Linked DNA regions of Rattus norvegicus. The protein of the gene in region 1 purifies or fractionates together with the protein of each later gene. This does not show direct contact. Links are inferred from orthologs where the notes say so. Each region holds a gene or a part of one and is shown in the gene's direction. Other genes may lie near its edges.

What was found.
Region 2: the proteins of Eif2b1 (region 1) and Eif2b5 purify together in Homo sapiens (affinity purification with mass spectrometry; 7 studies listed by BioGRID and IntAct, counting the BioPlex papers as one, with this or other methods). This does not show direct contact. The link is inferred for Rattus norvegicus from reciprocal best matches to the Homo sapiens genes EIF2B1 and EIF2B5.
Region 3: the proteins of Eif2b1 (region 1) and Eif2b3 purify together in Homo sapiens (affinity purification with mass spectrometry; 7 studies listed by BioGRID and IntAct, counting the BioPlex papers as one, with this or other methods). This does not show direct contact. The link is inferred for Rattus norvegicus from reciprocal best matches to the Homo sapiens genes EIF2B1 and EIF2B3.

Annotation. Positions count from the first base shown.
Region 1 is NC_086030.1:37,692,317-37,695,874, forward strand, and holds the end of Eif2b1 (translation initiation factor eIF2B subunit alpha), read left to right. Parts: intron 1-185; coding exon 186-261; intron 262-1,447; coding exon 1,448-1,573; intron 1,574-1,836; coding exon 1,837-2,001; 3' UTR 2,002-2,514; downstream 2,515-3,558.
Region 2 is NC_086029.1:93,905,690-93,910,570, reverse strand, and holds the start of Eif2b5 (translation initiation factor eIF2B subunit epsilon), read left to right. Parts: upstream 1-1,770; 5' UTR 1,771-1,806; coding exon 1,807-1,986; intron 1,987-3,003; coding exon 3,004-3,128; intron 3,129-3,971; coding exon 3,972-4,157; intron 4,158-4,237; coding exon 4,238-4,415; intron 4,416-4,503; coding exon 4,504-4,584; intron 4,585-4,839; coding exon 4,840-4,881. UniProt on the Homo sapiens protein: Acts as a component of the translation initiation factor 2B (eIF2B) complex, which catalyzes the exchange of GDP for GTP on eukaryotic initiation factor 2 (eIF2) gamma subunit.
Region 3 is NC_086023.1:135,727,047-135,731,952, forward strand, and holds the start of Eif2b3 (translation initiation factor eIF2B subunit gamma), read left to right. Parts: upstream 1-1,795; 5' UTR 1,796-1,893; exon of another isoform or gene 1,894-2,017; coding exon of another isoform or gene 2,018-2,115; intron 2,116-4,834; coding exon of another isoform or gene 4,835-4,844; coding exon 4,845-4,906. UniProt on the Homo sapiens protein: Acts as a component of the translation initiation factor 2B (eIF2B) complex, which catalyzes the exchange of GDP for GTP on the eukaryotic initiation factor 2 (eIF2) complex gamma subunit.

The DNA of each region.
Region 1 (3,558 bases):
TAACAGATAGTAATCCTTTGAAAAGAAAGCTCACTATTTAAGCGGTTGGGGGTTCTGGGATAAGCATCTTCGTGGTACTGTCTTAAAAAGTAAGCTGTAACACGCCTGCTATCCAGCACCGGGAGGCAGAGGCAGGTGAATCTGTGAGCCTGGCCAACCCAGTATTTCCCTTCCCATTTCCTTAGCTATATCATGGAGAAAGTAGACCTTGTCATCGTTGGTGCTGAAGGAGTGGTAGAGAATGGAGGAATTATTAACAAGGTGGGTACTGTCACTATTCCCAGAAGCCCCGGCAGCCTGAACAAGACTTTGGTCGGCCTTCTTCCTTGGAGGCTGGTCTTGGTGAATTTAGTCAGTGGCATTTGCATTTATATACAATAGGTCCATTCGTTTGGACCTGGATTTGACAGGGTATTATGTAGCTCAGGGTAGCCTCAGATGGTCAAACTCCTGTGTGTGCCCCCCAAGTGCTCAGATCATAGGCATGACCACCATACCCCAGCAAACTGGATGCAGCTTGGAATTGTCTCTGGTTTTGTTTCCATTTGATTGAGGACTTCCATCCCCAGGGTTTATTGCGATTTCTTTGTCGCTTACAAAGTTTTTGGAAACTGTCTGTGACAAACACCTTAATCATGTTAAGCTGTGCACGAACCGTCCTAAGTCCCCGGTTCACTGGCGTTCAGCACACTCACACCACACAGTGTTTATAAAACTTACTGTTTGTCTCAGATGGCCTTTTCTCATGTCCCTGGTCACCTGTGTTCTGCTCTGTACTGACTTTTCCAGTCCAGGGGACCACAAATAAGTACATTCACAGGATGCTCGTGACTTTGAGCTTGACATGATTCGGTGGCCACAGTGCAGTATGTAACTGCTGTGTCCTTTCAAGCAGAGTACAGTTCTGTCATGACACCACCACGTGCCCATGTTCACTTGTAGTGGATACTTGGATTTTCCTGCTGTTGGCCGTGGTATAGGGTACTGCCGTGTACACTGGACCACAGGTGTCTGAATCCCCCAGAAGTGGAAAGTGCTGGCTTATCTTAGACTGCACTTATTTTCTCTGACTGGTGACCCTGGCATCTTTTCATGTACTTTGGGTAGAAAAATTGTTTTCTTTCTTAAAAGGTCCTCTTTGAGGATTAGGATTATAGCTTAGCTGGCAGAATGCCTGTTTAGCATGTTGAAACCCCGAGTTCAACCCCAGCACTAGATAGACCAGCTCTGGCGGAACTCAAGTAATCCCAGCACTAGGGGGAGTGGAGGCAGGAGGATTAGAAGTTTTAAAACAATCTTGAATGCAAGGCCAGAAAGAAATACATTAAGAACTTGTCTTTAAAAAGCAATAGTTCTGATGGCCATGCCTTAATTACACTTACTCTCCTTCCTTCTGCTTCATTGAGCTATGTAAGCTCACCCGGTGTCCATTTCCCTGACTTCTCAGATCGGAACCAACCAGATGGCCGTGTGTGCCAAAGCCCAGAACAAGCCCTTCTATGTGGTTGCAGAAAGTTTCAAGTTTGTACGGCTCTTTCCACTCAACCAGCAAGATGTCCCAGATAAGTTTAAGGTAAGTTTTATGTATTTGACAGTGATCTTTGACTCTACCCTGAAACCACAATGGTCCAGAAAGTTCCCCTTCCCATTGCTGTCTCCTCCAGTGCTTTTCCAGTGGGGATGGTGATTGGACCTGGGCACACTGGGGCAAAACCTCATTTACATAGCACTCTGCTGGGTAACAGAACCCGTCTCTTCGTCCCATCTCTGCCTTTACATACATGTGGCCTTGGCCAGGTACTTCCATTGGCCTCTCCTCTCCTTGCCTTTCCTCAGTACAAGGCAGACACCCTGAAGTCTGTGCAGGCTGGACAGGACCTCAAAGAGGAACACCCATGGGTCGACTACACCTCCCCATCCCTCATCACACTGCTGTTTACGGACTTAGGTGTGTTGACACCATCCGCTGTAAGCGACGAGCTCATCAAGCTGTACCTGTGAGCAGTGCCCCTCCTGCCAACATGCAGGGAGCACATCTTGTGCAGGGTGAGCAGCCTTTCCACTCCAGCCAGCCAGGGGCCAACAATGGGACTTTCAGACCTGTATGCCAAGGGCTCATTTCAGAGGCCCTGAAGAATCCTTTTACTCTTGCTGTCACATCTGAAGCCTGGTCCCAGTTCTAGAAGCAAGGTGAAGCAACCTTGTGGTTTTTAGAGACTCAGTCTCCGGAAGAACAAGTTAATTACAGACTGCAAAGCTGAGGAGAGATGGCACAGGAGCAGGGACCCCCCAGCCGTGCTGCATCACTGAGAGATGCGGTGACATTGGCTGAGTACACACCTTCAGTGCCTCACAAGACAGCAGACACTGTAGCTGACGGCATCTGGCTCCATGCCCTCAGCAGGATCCAGCCAGATAGAAAAAACACCAATGCAGGAGCCATTCACATGGCACTGTCACAGAATGTTGTCTGTAAAAGATGCGAGTTTACTCTAAACATGTTTAAAACCTGAACCGTGGGTTTTTTGTTTTTTGTTTTTTTTTTTTTAAGTTAAATGTGAGAACAGGCCAGGATATTTTCCAGTAAGTTGTATGAACAATTTGGATATGGTATTGCCTCACACAAGTTGACAAAGACCAGAAACAGTGCAAGCACAGTTGGGCAGAACCTGTTACCAGAAAAGGCCTAGCAGCACTTCTCAGGATAAGATACCCTTCCTGTTTTCAATAAAACACCACCAGAGCCCGTTCTAAAATGTTCTCAACCCCAATCTGGGTATCATGGCACCAGCCTGTGGTCCCAGAACTCCTGGCTAAGGCAGGGGGTCAGTCTGAGGTCATCCTGGACTACATAGTTGTCTTAGTTTGGGTCTCATTCCTGAAAGAGACTCCATGGCAACTCTTACAAAGGCAAACATTTAGCTGGGGCTGGCTAGTAGTTCCAGAGGTTCAGTCCGTTATCATCATGGTGGGAAGCCTGGCAGTGTACAGGCTGATGTGGGGCTGGAGAAGCCGAGTTCTACACCTTGATCCAAAAGCAGCCAGAAGGCTTTCTTCCACACTGGGTGGGGCTTGAGCCTAGGAGCCCTCAAAGGCTGCCTACGCCATGACATACCTCAAGGCCACACCTAATAGTGCCGCTTCCCATGGGCCAAGCATATACAAACCACTACAATGGTGTAGCCCTGTTGCAATGAAAAGAAGAGAAAAAAGAACCCTACACACAGTCCCCTCTGCCCCTGTGGGTGCTCTTGGTAGGGCTGTAAAGGAAATGCAAAGTGTGGGGTGGGAGGAGGCCAGGGCATGTCAAGTGACTTAGAAATTTACAAGGCCTAAAATCAAGTATACTTTATTATCTGTTTTCTTAAAAGTGAGAAAAATACATACATACATACATATATATATACACTTTAAGTCAGTAATAAAGCACAAAAGTCACCCCAGAAAAAGCACAATTAATCAAAATAAATACTGAGATCTGTTATGTACACTCAATACACTGAGATTCTGGTAGGATCCTTGTGCTCGTGTGTGCAGTCCTTTGGTTTCTCTCAGTCT
Region 2 (4,881 bases), on another chromosome or scaffold:
CAAACAAACAACCTCTGTCATAAAGTCTATGACATAGACTCTGGGAATTGGTGCAGGCACATTGCATCACACTGATCTCTAGGGGGCAGTGTTACCTAATTTCACAAGCCCCTGAACTCCACATCCAGCATTTCTGGGAGCCCTGTGTGTGCCCGTGTAAGAATTCCCACAAGTGCACATTTTTCTTTTTCATGAAGATCTGTAGCGCAACCAATCAATCACGCAGAACGTACATGTATACATTCTTTTATTTTGGTCGTGTTTGCCTACCCGTTTGATCAGTTGTCGCGAGGCCTCACTGCAGATCTCACTTCCTCCTGTCTCAGTCGGTGGTGGAAATATACACCCTTGGGTGACCTGTACTACATTGATTTAATTGAAATTTTTTTACTAACCTTTTCCCTCTTTGTACCGACGTTTTCAAAAGCAAATGTTGTTCTCACAGCACCCTCCTTAACTGAGCGAAGAAAGAAATAACAGGTTTCTGAGTTCCATGAGGAATCTAAACTGTAGAAACACAAACTAACCACTCTCTGTGGGGAGAGAGGGCATCTGGGGGAGGTGGGTGGAAGCAACAGAGGGAGTTGCTGAAACCTGCAGGCTGTGGGATTAGCAGAGGTTCTGGTGCTGAATGGGCACAGATTGCTTACAGGAATTTTTTGGCTTGACAGAATTACGCCCAGGCTGTGTGCCATTGCTTCCTCAGCCTTAAGCTTGATTTATAAACTGCGGCCACAGCTTCTTTTCCCGAAACCTGTTGCTCTGCTTCAGCGTCCAGCCTGAAAAGCTTGCTTACTACGCCCCAATCCTACAGTTTACTGCTGCTCTTAGATCCAGCCTCTTCTGTGATAACGCTTGTGGAACTAGGGAGTCAGATGAGCCCCAGCACCAGTCTTTCCACTCACTAGTTGGGCGTGCTTCCTTGGTCTGATTTAAATGTTTAAGAAATGCCCGTGCTTTAGGTCGTATTTCCAGAACGGGAGGAGGGAGGGGACACGGAGGAGGGAAGGGACACGACCTAGCCCATAATCCGCGGGTGCTCCGTAAAATTAACCGCTTGGGGTTGGGGATTTAGCTCAGTGGTAGAGCGCTTGCCTAGCAATCACAAGGCCCTGGGTTCGGTCCTCAGCTCCGAAAAAAAAAAAAAAAATTAACCGCTTGCCTCCACGTTCAGTATTTGGGCAGATCGTGGGTTCCCTCCCAAAGACGACAGATCCCCTTAGATGACTAGAATTGCAAGTGGAGAGCTACATTTAATTTTTAGATTTATGTGGAAGAGTGTTTTGCCAGCTTGTATGTATTCCACAGGCATGTGTCCAGTTGAAAGTGAGTTGGACACCACAGAATTGCAATTGTGCATAGTTGCTTGCCACCACGTGAGCGCTGGGCGCCGAAGTTGGATTCTCTGCAAGAGCAGTAAGTGCCCTTAACCGATGAGCGATTTCTCCAGCTCTGGGCAGGGAAGCTGCAGACTCCTGCCGGGCGATCACAAGCCTACTCAGCTCGCTGCCATCTTAGCTTGCCTAACTCAGCAGCACTCGCTGACCGAGTTTGACAACGGTGGGATCTCACCCCTCCGTGGTAAGTGCACCACCCAGTACCGCCAACTCCTACAAAACTAGCACGGTCTGCCACGCCCCGGCTCTGGCCTTGCACGGGGGTGGGTGGGGCCTGCTAGTATACACATGCGCACTCCTTCCTCTTTCTCTCCTTGCAATCACACCTTCGCGTTTTGACTGCGAGTCCTTTTTGTCCCCTACTGCGTGCGGTGTGGCTTCCCGGCGGACGTGCTGACTGCGAAGCAAAATGGCAGCCACTGCGGCGGTTCCCAGCGCTGTAGGCGGCCGAGCGAACAAACGCGGCGGCGGCTCCGGCGGCGGTGGAACCCAAGGTGCGGAGGAGGAGCCGCCGCCGCCCCTCCAGGCAGTTTTAGTGGCCGATAGCTTCGACCGCCGCTTCTTCCCCATCTCCAAGGACCAGCCTCGGGTGAGGACCCGGCACGCGAGCAACCTGCGGGCCTGGAGGGTAGCAGGGCTACAAGTTGCCACTGCAGCTTGCTAGTGAAGCGTGTTCTGAAAGTTACCATAAAGTTGAGTTTTTCTGGTTGAGAGAAAGTGGAGGGACTGACTGAAACCCCGGTGGCTGTCCGTCCAGATGAGTAGCTAGCAAATATGGATTCTCGCAGGGCTGTCTGCCCAGCCTTGAGAAGGATTGAGAGGGCTGTGTATAGAATCAGTGTTTGAGGGGGTTGGGGATTTAACTCAGTGGTAGAGCGCTTGCCTAGCAAGCGCAAGGCCCTGGGTTCGGTCCCCAGCTCCGAAAAAAAGAAAAGGAAAAAAAAAAATCAGTGTTTGAAAGAAGCCTTCCCAGGGGGATTTAGTAGCGCAAGGGGGCCTCCATTGCCTCTAACCTTGCAGGACATGGGCAATTTAAAAAATGCTTCAAAAAGCGATGGTAATATATACCTAAAGGGAAAAAGGCTAGATCTCGGCCTGGTACGGGCTCTTTTCCTCCCATCTGCTGCAAGGGGAACCGAGTGGGTTCCCCTCAGCCTTGGAACTACCTAGACATAGGACATTGGTATTGGGCTTGCAGACTGCTCGGTCCCTCAGCAAACAGGGATTTGCCTTTTACTTAAGAATTCCTAAGGCTAACGACTGTTCACTTTTGACAAGTGTTTGAATGATTTCTGTGACTCAGTGTCAATAGGAGGAAATTCTATGAGAAGAAGGTCTTAGTGCTTAGAGTTATAGAGCTATGATTTAGGGCCAACATTTGTCCTTAATGTCAGCCCTGGTTTCCTATAACATATTCTGTGTCTGATACCATGTCTACTAGGCCCAAATCTTAGACTGAACCTTTGGGCCTATTTGCTTTAGAATAAAAGGGTAAAGCAAACTGTAGTGTCTGCAAGCCCCGATGAAAGGCACATTGTTGCAGTGGGGTACCTGAAGTATAATAATGGCTTGAAGACCTCAGACTTTTTCATATCCTGCCCTATAGGTCCTATTGCCCCTGGCCAATGTCGCGCTGATCGACTATACTCTGGAATTCTTGACTGCCACGGGTGTACAGGAAACATTTGTCTTTTGCTGCTGGAAGGCTGCTCAGATCAAAGAACACTTACAGTAAGGCTCGGGAATTTTTCCTTTCCATGCTTCACCGTCTTTTTTCCAGTCCTTCCAGCATGGGTTTGACGAGGTAGAGACATGAGGAAAACTGCATCTGTTCTGAGCTCGTGTATGATTTAGTGTTTTCTTCACGTGTCCTGAGAGAAGCTGCTGGAGCTTTCTTTGCCTTGAGGTTTCAGTGATGGAAATCGAAAGGCTTGGCTATGATTTTCTGAGTCTTTCAAAGTTCGTTCCAGTGAGTTTTGCTTTTTATGTTCCAGTGGGTATGTTATTGGAAGAGCATCTTTATTTTCCCACTGAATTTCTAAACACTGTCTGTTCTGACCCCCCAGTGACAGGAACAAGTTCTTTCCCCTTGTCTCCCCCACTGCCCTCCTTAGTTTCAAGCCCACTGTAAGTTCTTAAGAGATGCTTGTTAAAATTTGGAAGAGCTAGTCTGGGAATTTATGAGTTTTGGAAGTAAAGACTAGTATACTGAACATGTTTTCCATGTTACCGTGCTTAAAGTTGATACAGACTCAGAACAAGAAAGATGACTTGAAAAAAAAAATGTGTTCCCAGAATACTTTCATAGCCTAGATTTCATAGGATTTTAAATTCAAACTCACATTTCAAGACGGGAGTCAAGGTATAGAAAGGAAATGGTCATACTTCTCAAACACATAAAACTAATGACACTGGAAGCCGAAACCATTTATTATGGTTCACGCGTCTCTTTGAAGCCAGAGACGCTGGCAGGAAGCCAGAGAAGCCACAGAGGAGTATAAATGCTGAATGGAGGTTAGAGGTCAGGTCTGTGATAGTCTGTTTACTTTATAGTTCCTCATCACTTTCCCACAGGAAATCCAAATGGTGCCATCCTACGTCCCTCAATGTTGTTCGAATAATCACATCAGACCTGTACCGATCACTAGGAGATGTCCTCCGTGATGTCGATGCCAAGGCCTTGGTGCGCTCTGATTTCCTCCTGATATATGGAGATGTCGTCTCAAATATCAATATTTCCAAAGCCCTGGAGGAACACAGGTCAGGTGGGGAAGACGGCAGGGACAAGACTTAGGGACCAGTTGAGTCCTAAGACTAACTCTGCCCCTCCTTCTTTATAGGTTAAGAAGGAAGCTAGAAAAAAATGTGTCTGTCATGACAATGGTGTTCAAAGAGTCCTCACCCAGTCACCCTACACGCTGCCATGAGGACAATGTGGTGCTAGCTGTGGATAGCACCACAAACAGGATTCTTCACTTCCAGAAGACCCAAGGCCTCCGCCATTTCTCCTTTCCTTTGGTAACTGGGTGTCTGGGGAACTCAGGTAGAAGAGGGAGGAGCTTCGAGAGGAGAGATGAGCTAAAGCCTTTGTAACTTCTCCCCTCAGGGCCTATTCCAGGGCAGTCTAGACGGAGTGGAGATTCGATATGACTTGTTGGATTGTCACATCAGCATCTGCTCTCCTCAGGTGAACTCTTCAGAACAGAGCTGCATAGCCAAAGAGCAAAACTCTAGGGGTCTGTTCCCTTTCAAGTCCAGGGGATGCATCTTTCCCCTCTTTTTCTGGTTTGTTGTACAGTAGAGAAGCACAATTACTTCATTCCCAGTATATTGGGAACCAAATCTAGGGTTTGTCCTACAGCCAGTTACTATGGCTTTGATAGCTCTCTGGACGTTGTTACTGTAAAGCACCTACCCTTAGCATAGTGTGTTTTCTCCACAGGTAGCTCAGCTCTTCACAGACAACTTTGACTACCAAACTCGA
Region 3 (4,906 bases), on another chromosome or scaffold:
TGTCCTATTATGTTCATCAGCTCAACAATTTCTGATCAAATAAGCAATCACTCAAAATAGTTTGAGCCAAGGGCATGGCTCAAACAAAGGCCCAGGTCATGCTCAGGCTGTGAAACTTCAGTTTGGACTCATGTTCCCTTAAAGTTGTCATGGTTGTGACCTTCCCACTCCTACTTTTGAGACAGGTCTTATTTAGCCCAGCCTCCCTCGGCCTTCTAGTGCCGGGATCACAGACACGCAATAGCACGCACCACCATACTCAAAGCCATTATATGCCAATGTGAAGACAGGACTGTAGAACCTGGGCTGCAGACGCCATGGGGCTTTGTTTCCTCCTGAGCTGTTTGAGTTAAGAGGCTATAAAAAAAGAGTGCTTTGGGGCTGGAAAGATGGCTAAGAGCACTGACTGATGCCCTCTTCTGCTGTGTCTGAAGACAGCAACAGTGTATACATAAATTTTTAAACATTTTTTCTTACATTCATGTTCCTCCCTTTAACCTACCCTACAAGCTGTTGGAATATGAATTCTCTTCCATCTGACGCCCTCAGGTACCCTTCCCTCACCCCCTCTCCCTCCCCCTCCCCCTCCCTTCTCCCTTCCCTCCCCTCCCTCCCCCCCTTCCTGCTTGATTTCTGTGACCTTGTTGCCATTTGTTGAACTCGAGGACTCAAGGGGGAAGAGGGGGTGTCTTTCTCTCTTGGGATTTGTTTGTTTTTTGCTCTTTGTTTTTCTATTTTATGGTTGTTTTTTTTAAATGATTTTATGTCTATGAGTACACTGTAGCTGTCTTCAGACACACCAGAAGAGGGCGTCAGATCCCATTACAGATGGTTGTGAGCCACCATGTAGTTGCTGGGAATTGAACTCAGGACCTCTGGAACAGCAGTTCAGTGCTCTTATCCACTGAGCCATCTCTCCAGCCCTTGTTCTTTGTTTTTCGAGGCAGAATTTCCCTCTGTATAATCCTGGTTGTTGTTTGTTTTTTGAGAGAGTTTCCCTGTGTAACCCTGGCTGTCCTGGAACTCATGCTGTAGACCAGGCTGGCCTCGAACTCACAGAAATCCACCTGCTTCTGCCTCCCAAGTGCTGGGATTAAAGGCATGTGCCACCACCGGCAGGATCTTTGCACTTGTTGTCTAGGCAGCTTGGAAGGCTCTTTCCCAAGGCTCAACCTGCTTAACTCTCTTCAAACCATTAAGTGCCATCAGAGATGAATTTATTGTTTGATGGCTAAAGTTTGATACAATCAGGCATCTTACACACTGGAAGCCTACCCAACCACTGACCTGCAAAGGAATTTGGTAGGGAGTTTTTGTTGTTGTTCTTGTTATTTGTTTGTTTGTTTGGTGCAGGCCTTTAATTCCAGCTCTCCCGAGGCAGAGGCAGGGGGAATCTCAGCAGGTGGATCTCTGTGAGTTCGAGGCCAGCCAGGTCTACAGAGTGAGTTTCAGGACAGCCAGGGCTACACAGAGAAACCCTGTCTTGAAAAATCAAAAAACAAAATAAAAAGCACTGATACTCAAAATTTGCACCTTGAGACTGAGGTTTAAAATGGCAACTCCCAACGGAGGAAATTGAAGGGGACACTCAGCGAGCACTGGATAGCAATATAGAAACTCCATACCACAGTTCACGGGCTGCTTGGTTTCCAACACGCTCAGCACCGCCAAGAGCAGGAGCGTCTCTGCTCTGTGCCATCTATTACTCGGCACTCGTTCCTCCTTCCTGAGTCGGCACGTCATATCGAACCGCTCGGCCACCGCGCGCCTGCGCCTTTGGCTTGTCAGCCGGAGGCAGCGTGGGGAGCGCTGGGAGCGGCTACGGCGTGCGGGGAGCTGAGGTAAAGCCGGGGCTAGTACGGTACCAGGCGGTGCACGAGCTGGCTAAGCAAGGTGAGCGGCACGCGGGTGCGGAGAGCCGGGTTCGTGTGAGGGAGGCCAGGTCGCTGAACAGGGCCCGAGTGGGCAGACGGGGAAATCATCAAAGCGAGTCCCTGCCGGCCCCAGCCATAGAGCCATGTGTCCCAATTGGGGAACTGGAGAATCCAAGCCACCTTGTGCAACAGATGGAAAAACAGTTTCGGGGAGGGACGGTTCTGCTCGAAGTCACACCAAGTGAGCACTGACTCCCTTGGTGCCTTGCTGACATGCTTTCCACATTATTCATCCCACATTTGTTTGGGCTCAAGGCAGGGACTAAATGGGATACAGTAAGGCTCTTTAGGCAGCGCTCAAGGGTTTAGCAAACCAAAAACAATGCAGTGGTCGATCTTACCATTTTGAACTGGAGACGGCAATTTACGCTGTGGGGAAGGCATGACTGAGACTTTGTAAACGCCTCCTATAAAACTTGGAGGCTGATGAGACTCACCGGCTTGATATCGGCAGTCAGTCACTACGGAAAAGTTGAGACTTTTGAGTCTGTTTAGCCTTACGATTGATTGGTTAGGTTCCTAAGTATTCTTGTTTCTTAGGTTGTGGGGTTGGTTTGTTTGTTTACCCAGAGATTGAGAACAGGAACTTTAGGTTCTAGTCACCTGGGTTTTAAATGCCCCCTTTTGAGCTTAACACTAATGTTGGGCTGCTGTGAGGTTCACAGATGCTCATTCCACACATAGTACCTGGCATCTGACTGGGAGTATCCTGACAACAACTTCAAGGAACTCAGTCTTAATAGGCATTTAAATGAATGCCTGCAATGAAGCCTATAAAGGCTGATGCAATCTGTACAAAGTATAGTAGAAGCCACTAGTGAAAGAAGTCCCATCATTGGTGTGCAGGGTTAGTTGTAGTATCATGCTATGGAAGATGAATTTTGAGCTGAGTTTTTTAAGAGTTTGGTTACTTGGCCCAGGAGAAATCCAATCTAATGCAGGAGTCCCAGTAAACCTGCAGTCCCAGCTAATAAGGTGATAGGATGGAAATCACTTGAGCCCAGAAAGTTAATACACACTTTATAATCAGGTGTTAGTACTAGACTCACAAGCATCAATATGGAGACCTCTAGAGGAGTCTGGAACCACCAGGTTGCGTGTACTGATCTGTAGTGGGGTCACATCTAGGAAAGGCCATCACACTAGCTGAGACAGCATAGTAGTACCTATCCACTTCAAAAGGACCTATAGGAGGCTGGAAAGATGCCTCGGTGGTTAAAAGCACTGGATGTTCTTCCAAAGGACCCAGGTTCAATTCTCAGCACCTACACGGTGGCTTATAACCATCTATAACTCCACTTACAGGGGATCTGACTCCATACATGCACTCAACATAACACACACATAAAATTTTTTTTTTTTTAAAGATTTATTCACTTATGAGTACACTGTAGTTGTCTTCAAACACACCAGAAGAGGGCATCAGATTTCATTACAGATGGTTGTGAGCCACCATGTGGTTGCTGGGATTTGAACTCAGGACCTCTGGAAGAGCAGTCAGTGCTCTTAACCGCTGAGCCATCTCTCCAGCCCTTTTTTTTTTTTTTTTTTAAAGATTTATTTATTTATTATATATGAGTACACTGTAACTGTCTTCAGACAGACCAGAAGAGGGCATCAGATCCCATTACAGATGGTTGTGAGCCACCATGTGGTTGCTGGGATTTGAACTCAGGACCTCTGGAAGAGCAGTCAGTGCTCTTAACCACTGAGCCATCTCTCCAGCCCATAAAATTTTTTTTAAAAAATTATTTTTTACAAGAGAGATATATAGACCCAGAGTTATAGAACAGTATAGTTCAATTGGTATAGTGGGGTTTCCATGATCTAGCATCTGTCCAATAATATGAAACATGTATATAGTGCTTGTTATAGGATGAACATTATTTTGCGTGTTTTATGTAGAATTACTTTTTTATTCCTGTGTACGGAATATAACCTAAGTCCTCGTACATACTAGACAAGTGAGCCCTCATTTAATCCCAGCAGCTTAGTGAATGTGGACATGTGTTTCCTAAATGCATAACTACAGCATGCTCGGTCAGTATATGTATTTTTTCAGGGCTGGTCATTTGATAATGGATAACCAATTGATGTTCAGTTTCACTTGCTCTCAGCATTTCTTAGTTGCCTGTAATTTTTTGCTTAGGGTTAAGGCCTTGTAAGCTTTCTCTCTCAGATGTTAAGTTGTCTGTTACTATTATCCTTGTTCAGTCTTGTTTAGGGAGCCATGTTGGTGACACTTCATGGTTGTATAGTCTCTGGCATATCTAGGAGACAAACCCATGGCAAACATTCCTGTCCCTCTGTCTTTCTGCACTCTTATGATCACCGAGCCTTAGCTGCAGGACCTTCTTACAGGTATTAGGTGGAACGGGGCTCCACAACTCTTTCTTTTGATCAGTTGTGATCTGTAATGGTCTGATCTTTTGCAAAGGGATGTTTCCTTTGCAACATGAGAACTGCAATTCCCCAGCTAGTGTTTTTGAGATGGGGGTCTCTCGATGTAGTTTCGGTTGTGCTGGAATTTACTCTGTGTTGACCAGGTTGGCCTTAAACTCATAGAGATCTGCCTGCCTCTGCTTCCCAAATGCTGGGATTAAATATGCCACCGCACTGGTACTTGGACTTGTCTGATCTTAACTATAAACAACTCAAGGGTGCAGGCCAGATGTTTTTAATTTATATTACTCTGCTTTTACTAGAATTGGAGCTAAAACTCATGTTGGCTAGAGAAGGCGAGAAAGATGATTTTGCTGCAGTTAGGGAGTGTTTCTTACTTTGGTAACTAGAGCAGAAGTGATACATCTGGTATAGGTGGGAAGTGCTCATGTAAATAGAGACAAATCGTACTGTGTGTCATTTGATTTAAGTTACTCTTTCTCCTCCTGTGCTTGCAGATTTGTAAAAATGGAGTTTCAAGCCGTAGTTATGGCCGTCGGTGGGGGATCTCGGATGACAGACTTGACTTC